2 linked regions of the Schizosaccharomyces pombe genome follow. The protein of the gene in region 1 interacts with the protein of each later gene in a pairwise test. Each region holds a gene or a part of one and is shown on either strand. Other genes may lie near its edges.

Region 1 (4,499 bases):
CACATAGGGATTAAAAGGAGATGCGATTTCCATTACGACCCAGGCAACAAGGTTGACTAATAAATCAAGATCATTAATTTAATATGGAATAAGAAGGGAACTAAAGGCTATGATGAAAGGCTTAATATGTGTACCGATCTAAGATGCCAACTGTTTCACCAAAAAATGAAAACACAATATTGTTTTACCAATTTGTAATTGGGAGATTGGATCAAATAAATTGATTACCAATTCATGACCTCAACAAGTAATTCTAGTTGTTCATAAGTGTTAGCCTCTTTCTTGCAATTACTATCCACGTGATTTAGATGTTTCTGTGGAACAACAGCTATCTGGATAAAAAAACTTTGGGACAAACGAGAGTGAAACATTTTTAACTTAAATTATTTGCATCACTCTGAAAGTTATGAGTTGACTCATTCGAAGTCAGTTGAGAGATGAATCACAGACACTACTTATTGAGAACTTTAAGCAATGGAAAACTTGATATCGAAGGAGCTATCAAAGTCAATATTAATTGAATGAGGACATTATGCAAAGAACGTATTTTGGTTCATTATAAGGAAACCTCTTTTTAGTATCTTTCAAACAAGCAGGAGCTTCATGAATGCAAGGCCGGAGAGAAATTGGACTAGCCTACTCACAGACTAGAAGATTACAAAACTTCAAAGGATATGTCTCAGTACGAAGATCGTACCCTTAGCGCAAGAGTATTGAACCCTCGTCAAATTAGTGAGCAATATCAGAAAAAAGTTTTTGTATTAATTCCTTGTAAACTTTACGTTTCAGTAAAAGGAGCCTAGTCGTTCTTCTTCATTCCCTAAGCTTTTTCATAACTTCAATGCGTGAATTATTGTACAATTTGTAGTAAACTTCCATTTATTAAGTCTTTGAACTAAATGGCTTAAAAATGACAATATTCCTGAATATCCTTTGCAGAGTAGTTTTCGACGTGAATTGCGAGGAAAATGAACCTGTAAACTTTATTGAAGACGAGTCAAATTATTGAGTTATTTAATATAAGTCCAAAGAAAAGCGTTTTTTAAATAGTCATTATTGTGGTATGTTGCTAGTTGAATGTTATACACTTCGTTGTCCACACCAGTTACTGCTTGTGCATACAATAAAGCTGGATGCTTAAAAAATTGACTGGCATCATTGTAATTTTATAATCTACATATGCAAAAAGCCCATGAACTTTTTTTCTTGTACATAGACTCTAGAAAGAGGAAATAAATTGATCGATTTTACTATCAGACAAAGGCGTTTGTTTATGATTGTTGAGATCATTCAATAAACCTTTTAATACTTCCTGATACGATTTTTGTCTTTAGTCCATTTTTACGAGAAGTACAAACAATCGGTCTGATAATTTTTCACATATCGTATATTAGAAGATGGATTCCACAGCTCAACAATTTCCTTTGAACCACGACCTGCAAGTACAAAAAGACCAGAAAGGTGTTGTAGAGGAAGATGAGGAGCAAATACATAAGCGCATTCGCAATTATGAATCACATTCAGGATTCTCTGAATATTGTACTCTTTTCGGTCATGAGAAAAGTGTTACATGTGTCAGCGTTTCCCCTAACAAACGATGGATCGCTACCTCTTCATCCGATGGAACTATAAAGATTTGGAGCGCACTTACGTTTCGACTTGAATGTACACTTTTCGGCCACTACCGAGGAATATCTCAAGTAAAATGGGCAACTGGTAGTAAGTATCTAGCTAGCGCTTCTGACGATAAGACCATAAGGATTTGGGATTTTGAAAAACGGTGCAGTGTGAGATGTTTAAAAGGTCATACAAATTACGTTTCATCAATTGACTTTAATCCATTGGGCACGCTTTTGGTGTCAGGATCATGGGATGAGACTGTCCGTATATGGAATCTTCAAGATGGAACTTGCCTTAGGATGCTACCTGCACATTCAGAACCTATTATATCTGTTTCTATATCAGCTGACGGAACTTTATGTGCGACTGCTAGTTATGATGGAATGGCACGAATTTGGGATGTTCTCAGTGGCCAGTGTTTAAAAACATTAGTTGAACCCATTAATGTTCCTTTGTCTAATCTCCAGTTTACAGAAAATCGAAAATATCTGCTTGTAAGTAATCTTAACTCACAGATCCGTCTTTGGGATTATCGCCGAAACCGTGTGGTACGAATATTTGATAGCCACGTGAATACAAGATATTCTATGTCTTGGGATTGCTATTCTTCTAAAAATATTCCTAAAAATACTGAAGCTTTACCCAATAATGACTCTTCCTACCCTGATGATGCAGAATCTTTCATGCACGATGCTTATCTTTTAATTCCTAGTGAAGATGGAACAATCCAAATTACAGATCCGAGTACAAAAATAATTATTGACGATTCAATTAGGCATTCCGATGATCCAGAAACATCACTTTTAAATGTAACCAGTTTAGGTCCTTTCATAATCACATCAGGAACTGATCCTTATGTACGAGTTTGGGCTCCTTCTCTTCTATTGTCGAAGCACGAGAAAGATGGCTTTTCACCTTAACCTGAATTGTTGACAAATAATGTATAAAGTTTAAAGAAACTACTTGGAATTACGATGAAGATAATGATGCTAAAGGTTTACGTGCGAAAACAAGCTCCTTACTTCCAATCCAAAGGCTAGTTGGCCTATGAAAACTTAAGTGGATCGATACATAGAAGATAAAATTAATTTATACAGTCTTCGATTATTCTTTACAGAAGATTTCTCGAAGAACGAATGTCGGCCAAGTTGATATCCTGAAATTGATGGTTTTTCTAATTTTTCTCGTTTATTAAACCAGTTATATTCATTTTGTTACTAATTTTCATCATCTAGTTTAATTCGACAGATTTTAAAGGGAGATAAATTTTTTACTTTTTTTTCCTAATATTTATTCCTTTACCACTACTGATATTCTAATAAGGTAAAACTTTTTTCGAATTAAATCATTTGGCCGAGTCAAACTTAAAATAATTGAGAAAAAAACGTATTACCTGATTTTCAATGAGTGAAAACCCAGCACATAAGGATTTGGACAGTTTGCAGGTTGACGAGAAAGCAAAAAGTTGGATTGCTGAAAAAGTTGAAGAGGAGCTCCGAAGGTTAGAGTCAGTAGGTGCTAAAGCGATCCCCTTAGATGTTAAGAATTACAGTGTTATGTTAGATGAAGACACGGATACTGTGGTAAACAGAATTGAGTTGATGACTAGCTTCGACTTTGATCATGTTCAACAAATTCTTCTATCCGCCGTACAGCCCTATCCTTATGATAAAAACTTAATGTTTGTTTATTTGGTGATATTAACGCCTCTTCCACACCCTATGTTAATTCCATATTTGTTTGCACCCAAGGTCGTAGGCAAGAATCTACTACCCCGTGCTGACGGATTGGTAGAGAATACCTTGAAAAGATGGACATTCATTAATGATAAGCTCAAAAGGTCTGACACAGTCGTTCGCGAGTTCCAGGAAATTGAAGAGGAAGCGACTAAGTAAGGATAAAAGCCGTATGGTTTTCATTATGTTTCTCTTGCCTACTATCTTTTTCATTTTAACAAAGATTATATTTTTTAATCTTAAAAAATTTTTAAGAAGGTCCATGTTGGTCGTTATATTTTGGCATTTTTTTGAAACAGTATAGGAGTTGGGATTTGATACAATATAGGGGAAATTATAAGGTTGACGATGACACTAAAATTTTTTTCATTTAGATTGGCTATTCAATTTCAATTTGAAAACATAATTTTTATATTTCCAAACTGCTTCAATCTTACAGCAAGAAAAATTCGAGAATAAAAATGGAAGATAAATGGATATAATTATATAATTTTACTAATAAAGCCTCATTAGAGGGAGCTGGATAAAAAGAAAATCCGTTAGAAATGATTATTAATAGTTAATTTACCGTCGTCTGCTAGAGCGACAATTAACACTAAGGCAAAAAAAGATAGAAGTAAACAACAAACACGAATCATCAAAAAGCAAAGGTAAACGAATTCGTTCACATCTGTTGAAGTAATACATAACTTCTTAATACATTGACAAATCATTGCGATCAAGTATTTATTTCCAACAACGAGCAGTGAAAAACTATTCATTCCATACCCCCAATCAGACAAAACACTGGCACAGTTACATAAAAGAAATATTAAAATAGGAATCATATTTCTTAAAAAAGTGTAATAAAGCCTTCCAAAGTAAAATCACCGTATTAGGAAATCGGAAGTCATGAGCACGGCCATTAGGTCAATGTCATATAAAACTTACACAGGTACAAGATGAACAAAACAAAAACAAGATCCTTGAAAACCAACCAAAACTATAAGGGAAGCAGTATAATGTCACGCTTTTATTAGTTAAGTAGTCAAGGAAACATCCACAAAAGAACACGAACAGTAATCTCAGAGAATTCCAGCTTAGTGGAGAATACTATAAAGAAGAGTGATTGGAATTATGTTGCAACACCAGATTCTAAATTTA
Region 2 (17,116 bases), on another chromosome or scaffold:
CCTCATGTTATCGTGTGGCATACCGCAAAAGGCACTAATGTCATGACAATGGGACCTTTGGGACTAAAAGATGAAGATCTTTGGAATTATGCCAACGAAAGATCCAACCTTAATGGTACTACTTGACACCACTGCAATGCCTTTTAGAGAAGATACCGTGTATTTATTTTTATTTAATCTTTGTACTTATCGAGTAATGTGATATGATCGCAGAGCATCACCGTTACCCAAACCGACTACGAAATATTAAACTATTTTTTTTTGGGGAAACTTCATTACTAAGCTATTTGTAAACGAAAAAATATGTGCTGCTACTTCACGTTTGAACAGGATATTTATAATCGTTAACTACTTTTAGATAATGTTGAAAATTATTCCTCTAAGTATGAGTCCAAATTACGTGTTATGTAAAACAAAAAAAAAAAACAATTTATGGACAATATTCGGTTTTCAAAGAGAAATAGTAATTAATGTGTTTTCTGTATATTATGGAGATGTGATTAATACCGATGACCTGTAGCAATTGTTAAATTGCTGAAGGACTAGTAAACAAATAAAAATATATGTATTTCATTAAAACCGCGTTTTGCTAGCATAATTCAAGTAACATTGTCACTTTCACAGTTTATTTACCTCATTACGTCATGAATGTTTTGGCCAAGACGGAATTCGAACTCACACGATTGTGTAACTTGGATACTCGTTTAGAACTGGTATTTTGATTCAACCTAAACACAATACATTGATTTTACTATGGATGAGGAATATGATGTTATAGTCCTCGGTACAGGGCTTACAGAATGTGTTCTCAGCGGTTTGTTGAGTGTGGATGGAAAGAAAGTATTGCATATTGATAGAAACGATTATTATGGAGCGTAAGTTAGATGTGGTTAATATTTCACATAACCGTTGTTAATACCTGGATATGGACATTCTCAGTCAGTTACTAACTCCTCTTAGTGATTCTGCTAGTTTGAATTTAACTCAGTTATATGCTCTGTTTCGTCCTGGAGAACAACGACCAGAGAGCTTAGGTCGAGATAGGGACTGGTGTGTAGATCTCGTTCCAAAGTTTTTAATGGCGAATGGCGATTTAACCAACATTTTGATTTATACCGATGTCACTCGTTACATTGAATTTAAACAGATTGCCGGTAGCTACGTTTATCGTGATGGACGAATTGCGAAAGTACCTGGAAACGAAATGGAAGCATTGAAGAGTCCCCTTATGAGCTTATTTGAAAAAAGAAGGGCCAAGAAGTTTTTAGAATGGGTTAATAACTATCGTGAAGATGATCCAAGTACATACAAGGATATAAATATTGATCGGGATTCTATGGAATCTGTATTCAAAAAGTTTGGGTTGCAATCTGGTACTCAAGATTTTATTGGCCATGCTATGGCACTTTATTTGGATGATGCCTATTTGAAAAAACCTGCTCGAGAGACTCGTGAGCGCATTTTACTGTATGCGTCCTCGATTGCCAAGTTTGGCAAATCCCCTTATATATATCCTTTATACGGCTTGGGCGAACTTCCTCAAGGATTTGCTCGTTTAAGTGCAATTTACGGTGGTACTTACATGCTTAACCAGCCTGTCGATGAAATTGTTTATGGGGATGATGGTGTCGCAATCGGTGTTCGAAGTGGCGATCAAGTTGCAAAGGCTAAGCAAATAATTGGGGACCCATCTTATTTTCGTGAAAAAGTTCGTTCAGTTGGACGCCTTGTGCGAGCTATTTGTATCTTGAACCATCCCATTCCTAACACAGATAATTTGGATTCCGTTCAAATTATTATTCCACAGAACCAAGTCAAACGTAAGCACGACATTTATATTGCAGGAATTTCATCTGTTCACAATGTTTGCCCTAAGGGATATTACTTGGCTATCATTTCCACAATCGTTGAGACAGCTAACCCTTTGTCGGAAATCGCACCTGGTCTCAAGCTTCTTGGGCCTGTAGTGGAATCATTTTCTAGAGTCCAGGAAATATATGAGCCAGTGACAGATGGCACCAAAGATCAATGCTACATCAGTAAAAGCGTAGATGCCACTTCCCATTTTGAAACCTTGACTTGCGACGTTCGAGATATTTATAAGAGAATGACTGGCACTGACTTGGTTTTGAAGCAACGTCCCAAAATGGAAGATCAATAAACATTAGGAGAATCTGTGGCCTTCAAGTTTGTCACTCGCTGCCACTATAGTCGCACTGAATTTTGTTTTCACAGATTGGAATTTATCTTTAATGAATGAGATTAATGCATGATGCTATAAAATGTTATATATTGCATCTGAAAAAGATTTTTGGTCGTAAATGATGTTCTACGGCAAGTAGAATCGTCAAACCAGTATACTATTACAGTCAATGTTCATTTGATTGATGGGTATCGAATTAAAAATATTTTTCATTTTCAATTAGGTAGATGATAAAAATGAATTAGACTATTTAATAAACTTTGTTATCGCCAAGATATGAAAATAAAAATTAATTATATCTAATAATTAAGAAATATCAGTAATATAAGATTATGTAAAGAAGTTCAATAACATTATATGCCAGAAATTATTAAAGTTTTATAATGTATATTCCCAACTGGTTTCTACACGATTCAGTAACCGCTTTTACCGTTAACTTTGATGAGAGTAGTCAGCTTTACGGTGAGAAGCTTTAGAGAAGCTAGGCACCGTTAGCCAGGCGTATATTAGTGCTGTTTTGAACTACTCTGCTTGGTACGCTAGTAAAATTCATCTGTTCTGTAATTTAAACTTCTGTCGTATAGACATTATATTAGATATTTACCAACTATATTAGCAAAGTGCTTTAACAACTATTTTGCCAACAACGGTTGCTCTAAATTCATAATTAACTTCAAAATGATTAATCAATGAATGATTTCAAATTTATGACCCAACTATGAGTGCAATTACACCAGATGCTATTCAAGTTCATTCTATTGAAAATATTCCTTTACTTAGATGTAAACGAATTGCAAAAATGCAATTGGAAGTGCGATAAAAAATATGGAATGCGTGTGCAAATAATATAAAGTAGCAATTGTTGCAGATTCTGTTGTAATTTATAGCACCATTATGAACATTGGTGTCGTGAAGTTAAGTGTCGCAATGAAATTTGTGTTACCTTTGGGAATGCCGTAATGAAGTGAAAAATTAGGGCGGCATCACGCTGATTTCACGCACAACTTTTAGGGTAGGGTAGTTGGTGGAATCAGAACTAGAGGCTAAGAATTCCGCTTTCAAGCAGTTGAGTACTTAACCACAGCCAAGTAATTCGTCTTTGCGAATGTTAGGATGGCGCTAACGAATGGGCGAATTGAAGAGTATGATATACAGAATGGGTATCAAAATACTGAAGAAATTAAAAAGTTACCAGCGGAATTGAATTTTCCCGTTGATTTTGACAAAATGCCAACATTCATCTTTCAAGAAGAAAGACAGAAATTGGATTTGCCTTTATCTGACAGTGAGGAAAATCAATTTCATGATTTTTCTGATTCAAAATTATCCCTGGGATTTGAAATCGGTAGATCGAAAGAGAAATTTGTCGATGAAAAACCATTTTATTCAAATAAGGAGCCTCTGAAAATTAATTCTTGGAAAAAGTCTTCCTCACATCCCAAGTCGAAAGAGGTATCCAATGGACTTTTAAAAGTTTCTACTCCCCCTACAGAGTTTGTAAAACGAGAAAACGCAGGAATTAGACGACGTTCGTCTAATCAAGGATCGTTTGCGTTAGAGGCACCGAAAATTTTAAAAAGAGATGCAATGTTTAAAGAGAGTTGGAAAAATAAATGTTTTATTTCTCCACAAAAGGATAATCAAGGTTTTTCGAAAAGCAAGCACCTCTCAACGTACGAAGGTGAAACTGAAAATGGCTTTTCGACATCTACGGAAGAAGAAGAGGAAGAAGAAGAAGATATAGTTAGCGCTTCCTGGGTTGATAATTTGGACATGGACATGGCTTCTTTTAATAGCCATCGTGAACGTTTTCTTACCGAACATGTAAATATGGATGAGCGATCAGATGATGATTTCTTACTGGGGCTTATTAGTTCAGATTCTAGCGTTGACGATCATGACAATGAACAAGATGATGTTGACTTGATTGGATGGGAATGCTTCTTTGATGATTCTTCGGACGAACTCAACACTTTATCTCACCAAGCAGATGATGAAGGGGATACAACTGATGAAGAAACACCAGAATTACAAAACAATAAGTTATTAAATCTATCTACTCCTAAAAAATCTTTCGGTCAAACACCCCGAATCAAAACAGAATTATCGGAATCACCTAACTCACAACGTACTCTACTTTCAGCTGTCCCTACTCCGCTTGAGCTATCAGCTGAACTCGCCTATAAAGAAGATCTTACTTCTTTGGCTTCTCGTGCAAATATTTCCGATAATAGTACTGGTTTGACCCCAACACTAGCTAAAGCTACCTTAGCTCAACCAGTTTCTACAGTTGTCTCTGTAGCATCTTTTGAATTAGATCCAAGATTAAATATAACCCAACCAAAGCCGCCTGTAATGGGTACCTGGGCTAAGGAACCGAATCATTTGATTGGTATTATTGATGGTAAACACTCTCATTCCCTTCACCATGATAAGTTTGATGCATGTACAAAGGGTGAAAACACTGCTAACAACGGTTATGGGCCTCAAACTCTGAATGAAACTTCAGAAGAGCCATCCCTAGATGATATTCTTGATACATCTCTTCTGCAACCTTCTACACAAACTGATCTTCAAGAAGAAAATTCAGTTTCCTTTGCACAAGAAGATAATTCATTGAGTCGCTGGGAAAAAATTCCTATTGGGACGTTTCGAAAAAATCAGTACATAAAATCTATGGCACGTCGCGATGAGTTAATTCGAGATGAATGGTTTACCTTAGCTATCAAAACACGTGAAAAACGCCGACACAAAATTAATGCTACTGGTATGACTACCACAAATTCCGTTCCTTTACGACCAAAATCACGTAAGGCTCGTCGTGCTCTCAAAAAGAAAGCACGTAAAATGACTTTTCGTCAGATGCATTCTGATTTTCAAAGTGCGCTTGAAGACGAACACAATGATGGCTCTTACCTTGATAATGATTATGAAACAGTAGGGTTGGGCTTAGGCCCAGAATTATCTCCCCTATTTGAAATCTTAGAATCTTCTGGCTATTAAAATTTTTGTCTCCTTTCTAATTTATTTTATAAGTGTATTTGGTGTGCTGAATTATTTTCCAATACTACGATATTGGTTTCTTATTTTTTCGTTTATCAACCTTAATATATTTGGACTTTGTGTCTTTTCCTGTATTGAAGAATAAATCTATATGACATGGTTGATCACTTTGCTTTCATTTGGTCTTTGAACTTGCTTTGTTGCAACTATGTAATCAAGGATTCCCTATTATCACCAGTTCCCTGATCTTAGTTGACCGTGGTGGATTAGTTTGTCACACTTGACGTGTATTTTTTTTTTCTATTGGTTCAAGGTTTTGGCTTTGGTTTTCTTTGTTTCTTAATAATTTTATAATTGTGTCGAACCGATTAAATAACTTAGAGGCACTTTTCATATATGGTATATACATGGAATTAGTATATTTAAAGAGTTATTGAATATTAAATATAAAAAACTTCTAATGACTAATCGCGTAAACTATAATACTAGAAAAGAGTTCGCTAAAAAGATTTTTCTGTATTTTAAAAGAAGCCGTAAAACTAGAGCATCGATTTTGGTCCTTCAAGTAATAACTTGGCTTTAGACGTTTCCACTTTCCTTTGCATATACATCGATAAAAGTACAAGTAAAAGGGAGTTCAAAGAGACGCTTTTGGTCGTCTCTGACAGTCTTTGGAGAGAAGCTTACATCTCGTTCGCTTGAAGCAAAGACAAAAGTAGACGTATGTACTGGAATTGCGAAGTGGTATGAAATTAAAGCTTTTATATCTAACAGTTTCCAATTATAATGGAGCTTTAATAACATTGTCGCACCTGAGTTAATTGACGATATTTTGATGCCCTTTGTTATGCGATTTTTAAGAATGCCAGACGTCCAGTCATTGATTGAAGCTTCCAAATGGAATTGAATGCTTGGCAACTCGTGAGATTTCCATATTTCCTCCCAGAATGGCTCTATTTTCGTAAGCTCTTCAACATCCTTAATTTCATTATCAATCACAAGCTTCCGGATGCATGAAGTGTAGTACAACTCAGCATCCAAACGCTCATTAGGTGATATATTCACATCATTCAATTTTACAAGAGAAGGAATTCGCGCAATCACCAGCAGTTTAGCTATATCAGTAGGTTTATTAAAATAAGAAAGTGTTATACGCAGGTGCTTTAAGTTTTCTAATGTACGAAGATGATCCAGAGAACGAATATCCCTAATGTTGTTTTCTGATATGTCAAGGAATGTCAATTTGTGTAAAGTGTGTACAGGTAGTTCTGCAACATCAGCGAGGGAGGTAGAAGATAAATTCAAATTGTTAATTCTTTAGATTAGAAACCTAATTCGTATTTCTCAAATATACTTACCCTTGGAACACATCAACTGCATAGCCATCAGCACTATAAAGATTGAGATTATTTGCAAGACTTAACGTTTGAAGGAACTGCAGATTTTTAAAAGATGTTGCTTTTGATAAAATTATTTCATTTGCTTCAAGGTAAAGTACTTCCAAACTGGGAAAAGTCTCTGTAATCCATTGAACATCTTTACTGTTTAGGCCACATCCATTCACTGAAAGTTGTGTTAAATGAGGAATTAAAAGAACGGTATTTGAGCTAATAAAATTTGAAAATAAGTTTGAACTGAAAGAGTTAGAATATACGTGTAGAGATAAACAAAAACACATGCTCTAGAGTTAAATTTCTTAATGAAGGAAGCTGGGAACACAATTTAAGGATTGGAAAAAATTCATGAAACAAATTTCTCGATAAATCTAAGTCGATAACTTCTACAAATTCCGTTAACATTTAGTTGAAAATAAGTGACATACCAGGTAGTATTTTAGAATACTCGTACTCTATTTCAATATCTTCAATCCTATAATTGTCTAGAATAATAACGCGCAAGCTTTTTAAATCTCTTTGCTTGCTTTGGATTTTTTCGAAACCACAGAATTCTACCTGTTTTCCACTTTTAAATTCAACAGAGGAAGGTAGGGGACTTGAATATGAATATTTTTCGTAAAGTGCTTCCAAAAATGTTCTGCATGGATCAAAAGGGAATCCTTTGTCTACAAATATTTTTCCTTCTTTTACAATTCTAATAGTTTAGTTTCTTGTCGTCAATAACAATCTTACAATGGTTTTTTGTTTCTCCAACACGTTTTAACAAACTGTTTTGCATTTACGTTTTTATCAAGTATGACTTGGTATCGATCATTGTTTCCTTCGATGGTTAATGTTACTAAAGTATTAGATATAGAAGCCCTAACCATTCCAGTGGATATATGCATTATTAATCAACGTGGGAAAGAAAATGGATTGCTATAAAAATTTGGGCAGTTTAAGTTTTTTGTTTCTTTCAAATTTTGTCTTTTATCTACAACAAAAAGTTTTAACCGCACTTTTTCTTTGCGACATAGAAGTGTTCAGTACGTAGTGATAATATAGATGGCATCAGATTTGTTAGGAAAATAGTTGGAAATACTGCTTATTATTATACGGGTTTTGATTCTAATGTCGATCTCATTTTTAAATGTGCTGCTTTATTAAGTCTCTCAATGTTAATGTAAATAATCTATTGTTGGCTGCATACCTCGTAAAGTACAACTTGATACCAATGAATATATTAATTATCAAACAATGCGTTTAAATGTATCAAGCACCAAGCACGATGTAGATTGGAAGCAGCACTATCGAGAATTATCACTTTTTTAAATGAACTGTACATAAAGGAAATGTTGCTTTTTGGGGGCGAGAACTCCATCCTGGGAGAATTCGCAATTGTTGATCTGCAACCCATTTGAGACTTCTAAAATTTACCTCGTGAATGGCAAAAAATTCGATCTCTCGGAGAACTTTGTCATTTGATAACAAAGGAAAAGAAATTATCTTTAAAAAACGAATTGCGAATTCAGTTCCCATTTTTTTGCTCAATATCGAAATCAGAGTTCTGGTCCAGTCGCTGCTATTACGGAAACAATCAACAATGTAATCAAACTGAAGCCCAGATAACCGTATATACTTTAAAGCATAACTTAATTTATTTTTTTTTAAACAATAACAAAAAAATCTGGGCAGGTTTTTTGGCATTATTTCGATTCCTCGTTTTCTGTAAAAGTCTTTTACTTCGAAGGAATTCACACCTTGTAGTAATAATAAATTAATCTTATAACGACTAACTTCGTTTAAATTTTTCTTTTTGTTTATATAATAAATACAGGCATTCAAAAAACCTTGATTCTCTTGCATTTCACCAAACATCTTCAAAAGAGAGAAAATAAAATTTTCCGGAATTTGGCCTTTATGCTCTTCCCAATTTTGATTTATTTCTTGAAAAATTAAACGATCTTTAAAGACGACAACGTAATTAGCGAGTACATTTAGCAGGCTATAGCAATTTAACAAAAAAAGCTGACGAATAGGTAAAACATGCTCCAGTAGTTTTTTGCAATCTTCTTTCTTTCTTAATAAAATAAAACGAGAAAGAAAAATTGCTTGTACGTCAGCCAAATCAGATAAATTGTAGTGATCTCGTATAATATGTAAATATGCGGAATAGACCTCCATAGAGCCTTCTACTATATTGGAAAAATTTTTGAAAAAAGAAACAAAAAACTCAATTTTTACCGGCCATCCCTTATTAAATGAGTGAATGAGCCACATTTTAAGAGAGCAGCTATTTTTAGCCGAAAGGAGAGATATAAAGACTTTATCCAGAAACTGTTCAGATGGAGTTATCCTTTCATTATCAATATGCTCCATAAGCTGAAAAAACGCACGTAAACGTAAAAAAATTTCAGCCTTCTCCATCTTCGAAAAAGCAATAGACGGTGGTAGCATAGAATTAGCTAACATGCAATGGCTCGAATTTCCATGGAAAAGACTGTAATCTCTAATGAGAAGCAAGAAAAGTGTGCGGAAATCATTAAAAGTTTTTGAATTAAGTGAAGAGCGAATATTAGCGCTTTTCAGCAGTTTTTCAACTTTGTGGTACGGTCCATCTTTTCGAAAATATATAGAAGAGAATGAACTGTCATATTTAAACAGATCAATTGTTTGCAAAATTATTTTTAAAGAAGATTTTAAGTCAGTTCTACTCAAATTTACAGTAGATACGCAAATATTCAAGGCAGCTGAAATAATGCTCTCCAGAATTCGCTTTTGCCTTTGCAAATCCGGATCTAAACGAAGCACATTATATACGAAATTTACCAGTACCTTTTTTTCGTCAGAATATTGTGAGAAAAGCAATTTTGAAAAACCATTATCTTTCGGATTTGAATAATTCGTAAACATTAGCAACTGATAATACAAGTTACTATTAACCTCAAAAACTGGGTAAAACGGATGCAGAGCTTTCAGACATTTGTTATATATTTCTGATAACTCACGTTGATATAGCAGGTCATCATCATTATAGTTTTCATAATCTCTCCAGGCCAAGGTAGAGTCTTCAGAATACTTTCTTATTAAAGATTTGAATTGTAAACTTTTTTTTGCAGAGAAAAACCGTCTGCTTAATGAAGTATTGTCTTCAAAGTACGCTTTGCAAGTGCAAAAAGAAATGTATAAGGGTTTCGACTTGACAAGAAAAGCACTTGTATTTGACAAGTTTTTTGACACTTTGCTAAGGGTTTTCAACATAAACGCATCCTAGGTTTAATCCTTTATCAAATTAATCTCCAAAGTATTCTAAGTATAAACCGATCAAAGTATCTCTAAATACAACCAACTTCAATAAAATAAAGTAAATAAAGGTTTTTGGTACGTGTATTTATGTCAATCTTTTGAACAATTTACGCGAAACGTAATAAGATTTCCTGATGTTGGCAGTTGTTGGTGGGAGCCTATTACACGTCGAGAATTTATATACATTTTTGCAATAATAAAATAACTGATGCTTAAAAGATTGTATTTTAATCCATTACTAAATAATTACTCACCATTGAAGCTAAGAAATCCGGACATGAGAAGTACACGATAGTAATCTTTTGTGTGTATGTTGTTTGCCCAATTCCAGGCACTAGTCAAACGTCCATCAATACAACTGCCAGCCTAGAGCTAGTTAGTAATTAAACAGATATATATATAGATAGATAATTTTAACTTACATCAAACCAATTGTCTGCACCAGATCCATCAAATCCGAATCTCATAAAATCGGTTAAAATAGTCTTTTTTAAATATTCTCTGCCTCCAAAAGCTGTATCAATGTAGTTAAGAAGAGAATGGTCATTTAAAGAATCTAACTCCTTGAACAATAGAACCAAGGGTGTTAAAATCCTTGGCACTTGCATATACTTGTCTATAAACAATAAGGCATTTGGAACAGCGGTATCTCCGAGATGGATTGTTGAACTTCCTATCCATGTTTCAGACTGTTCTTGAGCCGTCCGCAAAATCCTTTCCATCGCAATTCTAATGTTGGGACAAGGCTGCATTCTGTGTATTCCTTGATTGTTATCAATTAGCTTATACTCCATATCTGGGTTAGTTAACTCCAGATCACTAAGAGCCCATAATGAAAATATTTCTCCCATAATTAAAAGCCAAAGATGCAAACTTTGCACAACATAATGGTACTGTTTGTAATGACTATGCTTTAGTCTTGAGCCATTAATGGCATCAATAGCAAGAGTAAACTCATCGTCCACGGTATCTGGAGAAAAATATGCTTCTACCAAGCCTATGAGTTTGGCAATTGGATCACGATTATATCTCAAGTAACTGTTACTATCAGCAATAGAGTAGAGACACCATCGTACTTTCTCTTTTGTAATTTTGCTGCTGTAATACTTTTTTGCAATATGTTCAACAGCTCTTTCTTTCGCTTTAATATCTTTTTGAATCGCTGAGCGTGATCTATTTTCAGCGACTATTTCCATAGTAGCAATTTCGGCATAAGGATCTTCTAATGCGTTCAAAGCATCCCTTTCATTCAAAAATTCATAGACAGTCAAAATGGGTTTAAAGAGGTTAAATCCAAGTGCGTCTTGAATTTCTGGTCGCATAGAATCTTGCACAAAGTACATCAATTTCCCATAAGTAGACCCCAGTCGGTTGGGATTTAGCACTTTATAACGTCGACCTATTTCAAAAATCTTTTTAAAAAATTCGGCATGTTGTTCAAAATTTTTATGCTCAAGCAATTCTTGTCCAACTTTATAATCATAAGCAACCATGATACCCGACAAAACTGCAGTAATTCCTTTCAATTGCTGAGCCAGTCTTTTCGCTGGCGACGAAAAGCTTAGGGTATCAACGCTGTCGGTATAATCACTCACATCCAATGCAGCAGTAAGTAAATGAAGAAGCTTTCTTTCTTCATATTCAAGTCTCAAAGGAATCACTTTGGCCCTTTGCAACAACACAGGAGAAGAAAATTTCTTTTCAGGTGATTCATTACCCGTTTTAGATTCATTGGGGAGAATGGATGACAAATACAAATTCCTTAAGGCTTCAGCGTCCATGTCTATGTAAAGAATACGTTCTCATGAATTAATCATACAGGTATAAATTAAAAGGAGGAAGTATTAAAGTGAGGGAATCTTTAAAAAAAAATTTTAATTTAACATGTGTTTTTGCAATGTTGAAATAAAAGCAACTGCACAGCTGTAATTTATTGTTTTTTGATCTATATCGAAGGTTGGGCGTTCACTACTTGTCACTTCAACAGGTACTATTTTCTACCGCTATTTTAGATGCCACCATTCTAAGTATACGGAAAAGGAAATTATATGAGCATTTTTTATTTTTGAAATTTGATAAGCATTAAGGAAAGTATGCATGTAGTAAAGCAATATTTTAGATAAACTAACAAGATAAAGCGTCTTTAGTATTGGATTAAATGTATGCAGCATGTTACTTGTGGTCACATTAAATGTAAGAAATAATGTATACATAAATGAAGTAAATGTATAGAAGAAAGCGTTTCCGGCTTCCAATATCTAATTGTTTAATGAATCAACAGGTAGTTTGCAAAATTGCCTTTACCAAATTGGCTGTATATAATATACGTGATCGATATTGTAGCTGGTTCATATGAACCAATTTATTACTGCGACATGATATTGTATTACCAAATCTGCGTTGATTCAGCTGATTAAGACGTTGTCAAGAAATGTTGAACTTCTCGCAATAAAAACGTTTTTATTTTACTACTTAGGCTTACCTTTATCCCCTTTTGAAATACGTCAAATACATATATGTTTGGAGGAACAGTATCAAACAACTAATGAAAATATTCAATTGAATGATTGTGAACAAAAAGGGAGTGCATAGTTGAGATTTTTTGTTTATTTTACCTCCAAGAAAGCTAATATATAAGGAGAATAAACATTTTGCATCTTATTCGGTCGTGATTAAATACTATCCAAAAACGCATACCTCTCGAAAAAACAGACAGATATATTAGAAAGATAAAGAAAGCTATTATACCGATGAAATTAAATTAATAAAAGTAAACCATGAAAGAACGAAACGAAAAAAAAATAAAATGCAAGAACGTAATAAGAAACCCAAATCTTTAAATATACATAGTCTCAAAACCTCCGTCTTTCTGCAAAAAGTAAAACTCCTGATTCTTGAGAACATGCCTTCCGTAAATCGTCAACATTATTAAGAGGTAATACTTTATTCGCGTTCGTATCTCTGTATGACAAATGTTCACATTCTCCGAGTTTATTAGTCAATCGTTCACAAAAATCTTCAAATGAGATATCAGAGGGAACGCGCAAAGCAAAGGTTTCATCTCCTAATCTGACTTTAACTTTGCATGTCGAACCTGCAGTAGTCGGAGCTGATTCGGGAATAGAGATATTAGTAGCTTTTTCAGGAGCTTTCTCTGGCAAAGAGAAACTTAACGGTTCTCTGGGTAAGGCTTCAGGCATCGTACTAGTTGGATGAGGGGACTCAACGTCTCCGTCAAGCGGTAAGAAGAAAAGTTTGACGAGTTCATTTTCGAGTAAACGAGCTGGAAGCCTGCACATTTCCTTCAGATATACATCTAAATCCATTGCCCTTTGTGAAGATATTAATTCATTAACGTCATCAACTGGACCGGGCATGTAAGGAATAACTCGTCTTTCGTCCCCACGACCAGCTTCATTAGGAAATAACTCTAAAAACTTCGTCTGGAAATTAAAAAAGTCTTCGTAATATCTACAAAGGTTTCGATGTTTTCCATCACTCATAACGGCACGGACCAAATACCAATATTGGTCATCGCGAATCATGTAGTTTTCCACCATTGCAGCAACAACGGTAGGTTCAGAAGACATGTCTTTCTTGTTCTTAGAAGCGATGCTAGCCGTACGCGACTCCAATGTTTGCAGAGGTGTTAATTCGTTAGCGACGGAACCAGGAAAAGTGCTTGAATTGTCAGTAGCAGCTTGATATGTAACATCGTTATTAATTTGTAAATTTTCAGTGCTTGGACTTAAGCTAGGCATAGTTTGAGTTTCACCATCACTGAATTTCCCTAAAGGAATACTACTCTTTTTATAATCAGCAGCCGCACGTTTCCAATCCTCTACACGAGGTATGCAAGAAATACGTAAAACAGCCTCACTAACGTCTTTTATCACAGCTCCGGTTTTTAAATCTCGAAGTTGTATAAATGAAAGAGGAATGAGACCTGGACCCCCTAATCGTCCTATAGGTTTGGCTACTAACCACTCATGATTTGACCGAGCAATAATTATAATAGCCTCACCCGCCTTGGCTTCAAGTTCATCTGGTCGTTCAGCAGCAAAATCGAATTGCACAATTCCAAATAGCGGCTGTGAACCAGAATGGAGTTCACTGATTGAGCTCCTAGTGGTACTAGAATTGGTGGTTAAGTCTGTAAATGATATTTGCCCGCTGCCATCACTGTCTCGTTCCGATTTGACCGTTTTTCCTATCTCTTCAAAATGAGATACTGGAACAAAGCCACGAGTACCTGCAGCGGGATTACAAACTTCGTACCAAGCCTTGTCATTTTCACGACCTATAACATGAAAAAAGTCACCCTTGGCAAATGAAACTTCAGTTGCTTTACGAGCTGTGTAATCATAAAGGGCCCTAATAACTTTTCTCGGGGGTTCAATTGAAAAAGGATCTTTATCAAGAATTCGACTATGAGTTTTCCAAGTCCTTTTAATCTAGAGATGGTTAATAATTGATTAATTAACAAAAAATTTTTTTTGAAGCATACCTTTAACATAGAGACTGGAATTAGAACAAAAAGAAAGAAGGTAGTAGAACAAAATTTGAAATTATATTACAATAATCTCAGAAAGATTCTAACTATTAGAATTCCCTGCAACAAAAAGATTTAACTTAATTTTCATAAAACGATCAAGTGGAAATTATAATTACAGACAAACTGTTAAAGCGATAACCTACTGTAAGGGTATATGAATTAAGATCCGAGATAGCAAAAGGAATGTATGAAGAAAAGGCAAAAAGAATGGCACGGATTTAAAGAAAGCAATATATTGTAAATGAATCAATAATTAATTTCCAAACACTTTGAAAACGCTGTCGTTTTTATGAAAGATGAGTATACAGGATATAATATTCTCACAAAACAGACAAAATCGATTTGTTAGCACGTTGTAATTAGAAAGAACGAAGAAGCTAGCAGACACTCAATTATAGTGACTGAACTGCTGAGCCCTGAAAGATAGATGAAGGAAGAAAAGGACGGGAAAAGAGGCTTAATATAGAACAATGAGAGTTGGTCCAAGCAGCAAAGTAATATATTAGAAGAATACAAACTCAACAATTTTAAACAAGGAAACGTATTAAAATTTTTCCCAACTGACTCTCTTATTAATTTCCCTCTTACCAAGTATAAAATTACAGATCTACAACTTCTATGTTCAAGTTACCTTTCAGTTAATTCTGGAAGTGAATTTTGTCGCGTAGCATTGTAGTTCACTATCGTAATTATATTATAATGAGTATTAAACAGTTTAAAGGATTACGCGCTATTAGCGTTCGCTATGAAAAATAGATTCCGTAGTTACCCAAATATAATGTATACATTTGCTTTACAGAGCTTAACTTAGCAATGGTATAGAAGGAAGAAACAAACGTTCGTTAGTGCCGTTAAAATATTAAGACATAATTTTGGTTGAATTGATACAGAGTATCTTTTTTTGCACATAAAACTAATTTATTGTGGAAAAGAATCCACAATAGTGGACGATTTTCCAAGAAGATGATGCCCTTACTCTACGCTAAGCAAAAATAGCTGTTGAAAATAAATCAATTTATGATTTCATTATTATTCATAACAATCATATCTTAAGAGTTGAGTTGTAAGTAAGAATGCTCTGTAAAAAAGTAGCAATGTAGTAGGATCAAGACATCAGGGCGATTCGTTGGTCCATAATAGTATTGTTTTCTCGACTGATGCTTCGAAAAACAATAAGACGAGGCGGACATTGCTTTATGGATGAAATATTTCGTCAAGGCCAGAACTACAGTCCGTAAATCTCATATAGATTACTTCGAAGCACATTTGCAAGAAGAGCACTTGCAGTTATCAACAGCGCTGCTCTTGCAACCACAAGACTCTTTGCAATCTTGGCAACCGCACTTGGATTGGCAGTCGCAAGGCTTGCCTTGTTTGCTCTTACATTGGGTAGTGTGTTCCATCGTTGAAAGTTTGTTAGGGTGATATGAGTTGTTGAAAGTCGATTGTCTCAAGCACGCTTAAAGTGGTAAAAAAGGTGAGAGTAGGGTGCCTTTATATACATTTTCCAAGCTAAAGGATTGACAGTATCATGTCATGTCGATATAGGATCTGCAGGGATATTTGGAGAGGCAAATGCATATACGTATTTAGATGTTTGTACACAAATCATGCTGTTGTTTCATGGAACCAAACAAATGAAGTGATTGGACTTTACAAAGCAAATGAACATAAATTTATGAATAATAGAAAACAATCTCATATTAAGAATGGGTTAGTTGTATCATATTCAATATTATATCCAGTTGGTAAAGGTAGATCTCTGCGTAGTACTGGTGTTGTTTTGATTCTGGGTCCTGTTAAGGAATATTAACACTTTACATCATCTGATACTCGGGTTCCGTTCGTATCGCCACAATAGTTCCCGCCAAAAGGTAGGTGCCGCAATGGCTTTACTCCAAGATTCTAAATTCATACAGACTAGCTATGCCTTCCAACTGAATAAATATCAGACTTGAGGGCATATATGAGGAGGGTGTGGCAGAATTCACTTTTGTCCGTCAAATTCACTATTAACATTGGTTATAAAATACGCAAAAGTAAGTCTTTACGAGTTTAGTAAAAGCTGAAACTGATAGTTCTACAGTTTTCCTACTTTCTAGAATTCTCTGTTTCTGCAAACTTTAACTTAAAATTACATTGAAAACATTGGTTAAATTCGTTTGTTTACATTTATTTCTAAGCATAAAGTTTTTGGATTTATGCATCTTATCTATGTTTATGTACTCCTTTATCAGTAGATTTTATATTGACAGATAGATTGAGTATATAGTTGTTTACATGTTTAATCGCGTGGTGAAGCTTCTAGCAAAATAAAACATCGAGCGTTTATTAATAGTGAATAGAAATTAGGCATAAGAACAACTGAGGCATTGCACAACTTATAAATGTCTACGCGGAAGCTCATCACGAACTTTTGGTATTAGTTATTCGTTACGCTAGTATTATACTCTCTTTTCCATGTTTATTTCTTTCGCTTGAAGAGTGGATTATACACACATTGTATCCACTTATTTGCACAGGAAGTATTACAAGTGGACCTTTTCAGGTTCGGTCAGTAAGTTTTAACGCATGCTATCTTGCATTTTAAACAACTTTCCCTTTAACAGAATCACATATTGTACGAACTTATGGGCCTAAAAATATACTTATTTTCTGTCATAAGTCGTCCAG

What was found.
Region 2: the proteins of SPOM_SPBC354.04 (region 1) and ifh1 interact in a two-hybrid assay, tested with the Schizosaccharomyces pombe proteins (one large-scale study listed by BioGRID).

Annotation. Positions count from the first base shown.
Region 1 is NC_003423.3:547,273-551,771, forward strand, and holds SPOM_SPBC354.04 (uncharacterized protein), read left to right. Parts: upstream 1-3,023; coding exon 3,024-3,515; 3' UTR 3,516-3,999; downstream 4,000-4,499. Other genes in the region: Set1C complex WD repeat protein Swd3, read left to right, coding at 1,398-2,540; sre2 (membrane-tethered transcription factor), read right to left, coding at 4,471-4,499.
Region 2 is NC_003424.3:2,380,460-2,397,575, reverse strand, and holds ifh1 (TOR signaling pathway transcriptional corepressor Ifh1), read left to right. Parts: upstream 1-3,279; 5' UTR 3,280-3,316; coding exon 3,317-5,206; 3' UTR 5,207-5,630; downstream 5,631-17,116. Other genes in the region: glm1 (glomulin), read left to right, coding at 1-126; GDP dissociation inhibitor Gdi1, read left to right, coding at 754-875, 961-2,161; alp21 (tubulin-specific chaperone cofactor E), read right to left, coding at 5,786-6,521, 6,565-6,840, 6,887-6,986, 7,029-7,297, 7,336-7,490; protein Cbp8, read right to left, coding at 7,903-9,843; SPOM_SPAC22H10.08 (uncharacterized protein), read right to left, coding at 10,135-10,254, 10,311-11,669; Cdc42 GTPase complex scaffold subunit Scd2, read right to left, coding at 12,741-14,342, 14,396-14,404; metallothionein Zym1, read right to left, coding at 15,694-15,846; SPOM_SPAC22H10.06C (uncharacterized protein), read left to right, coding at 15,975-16,256.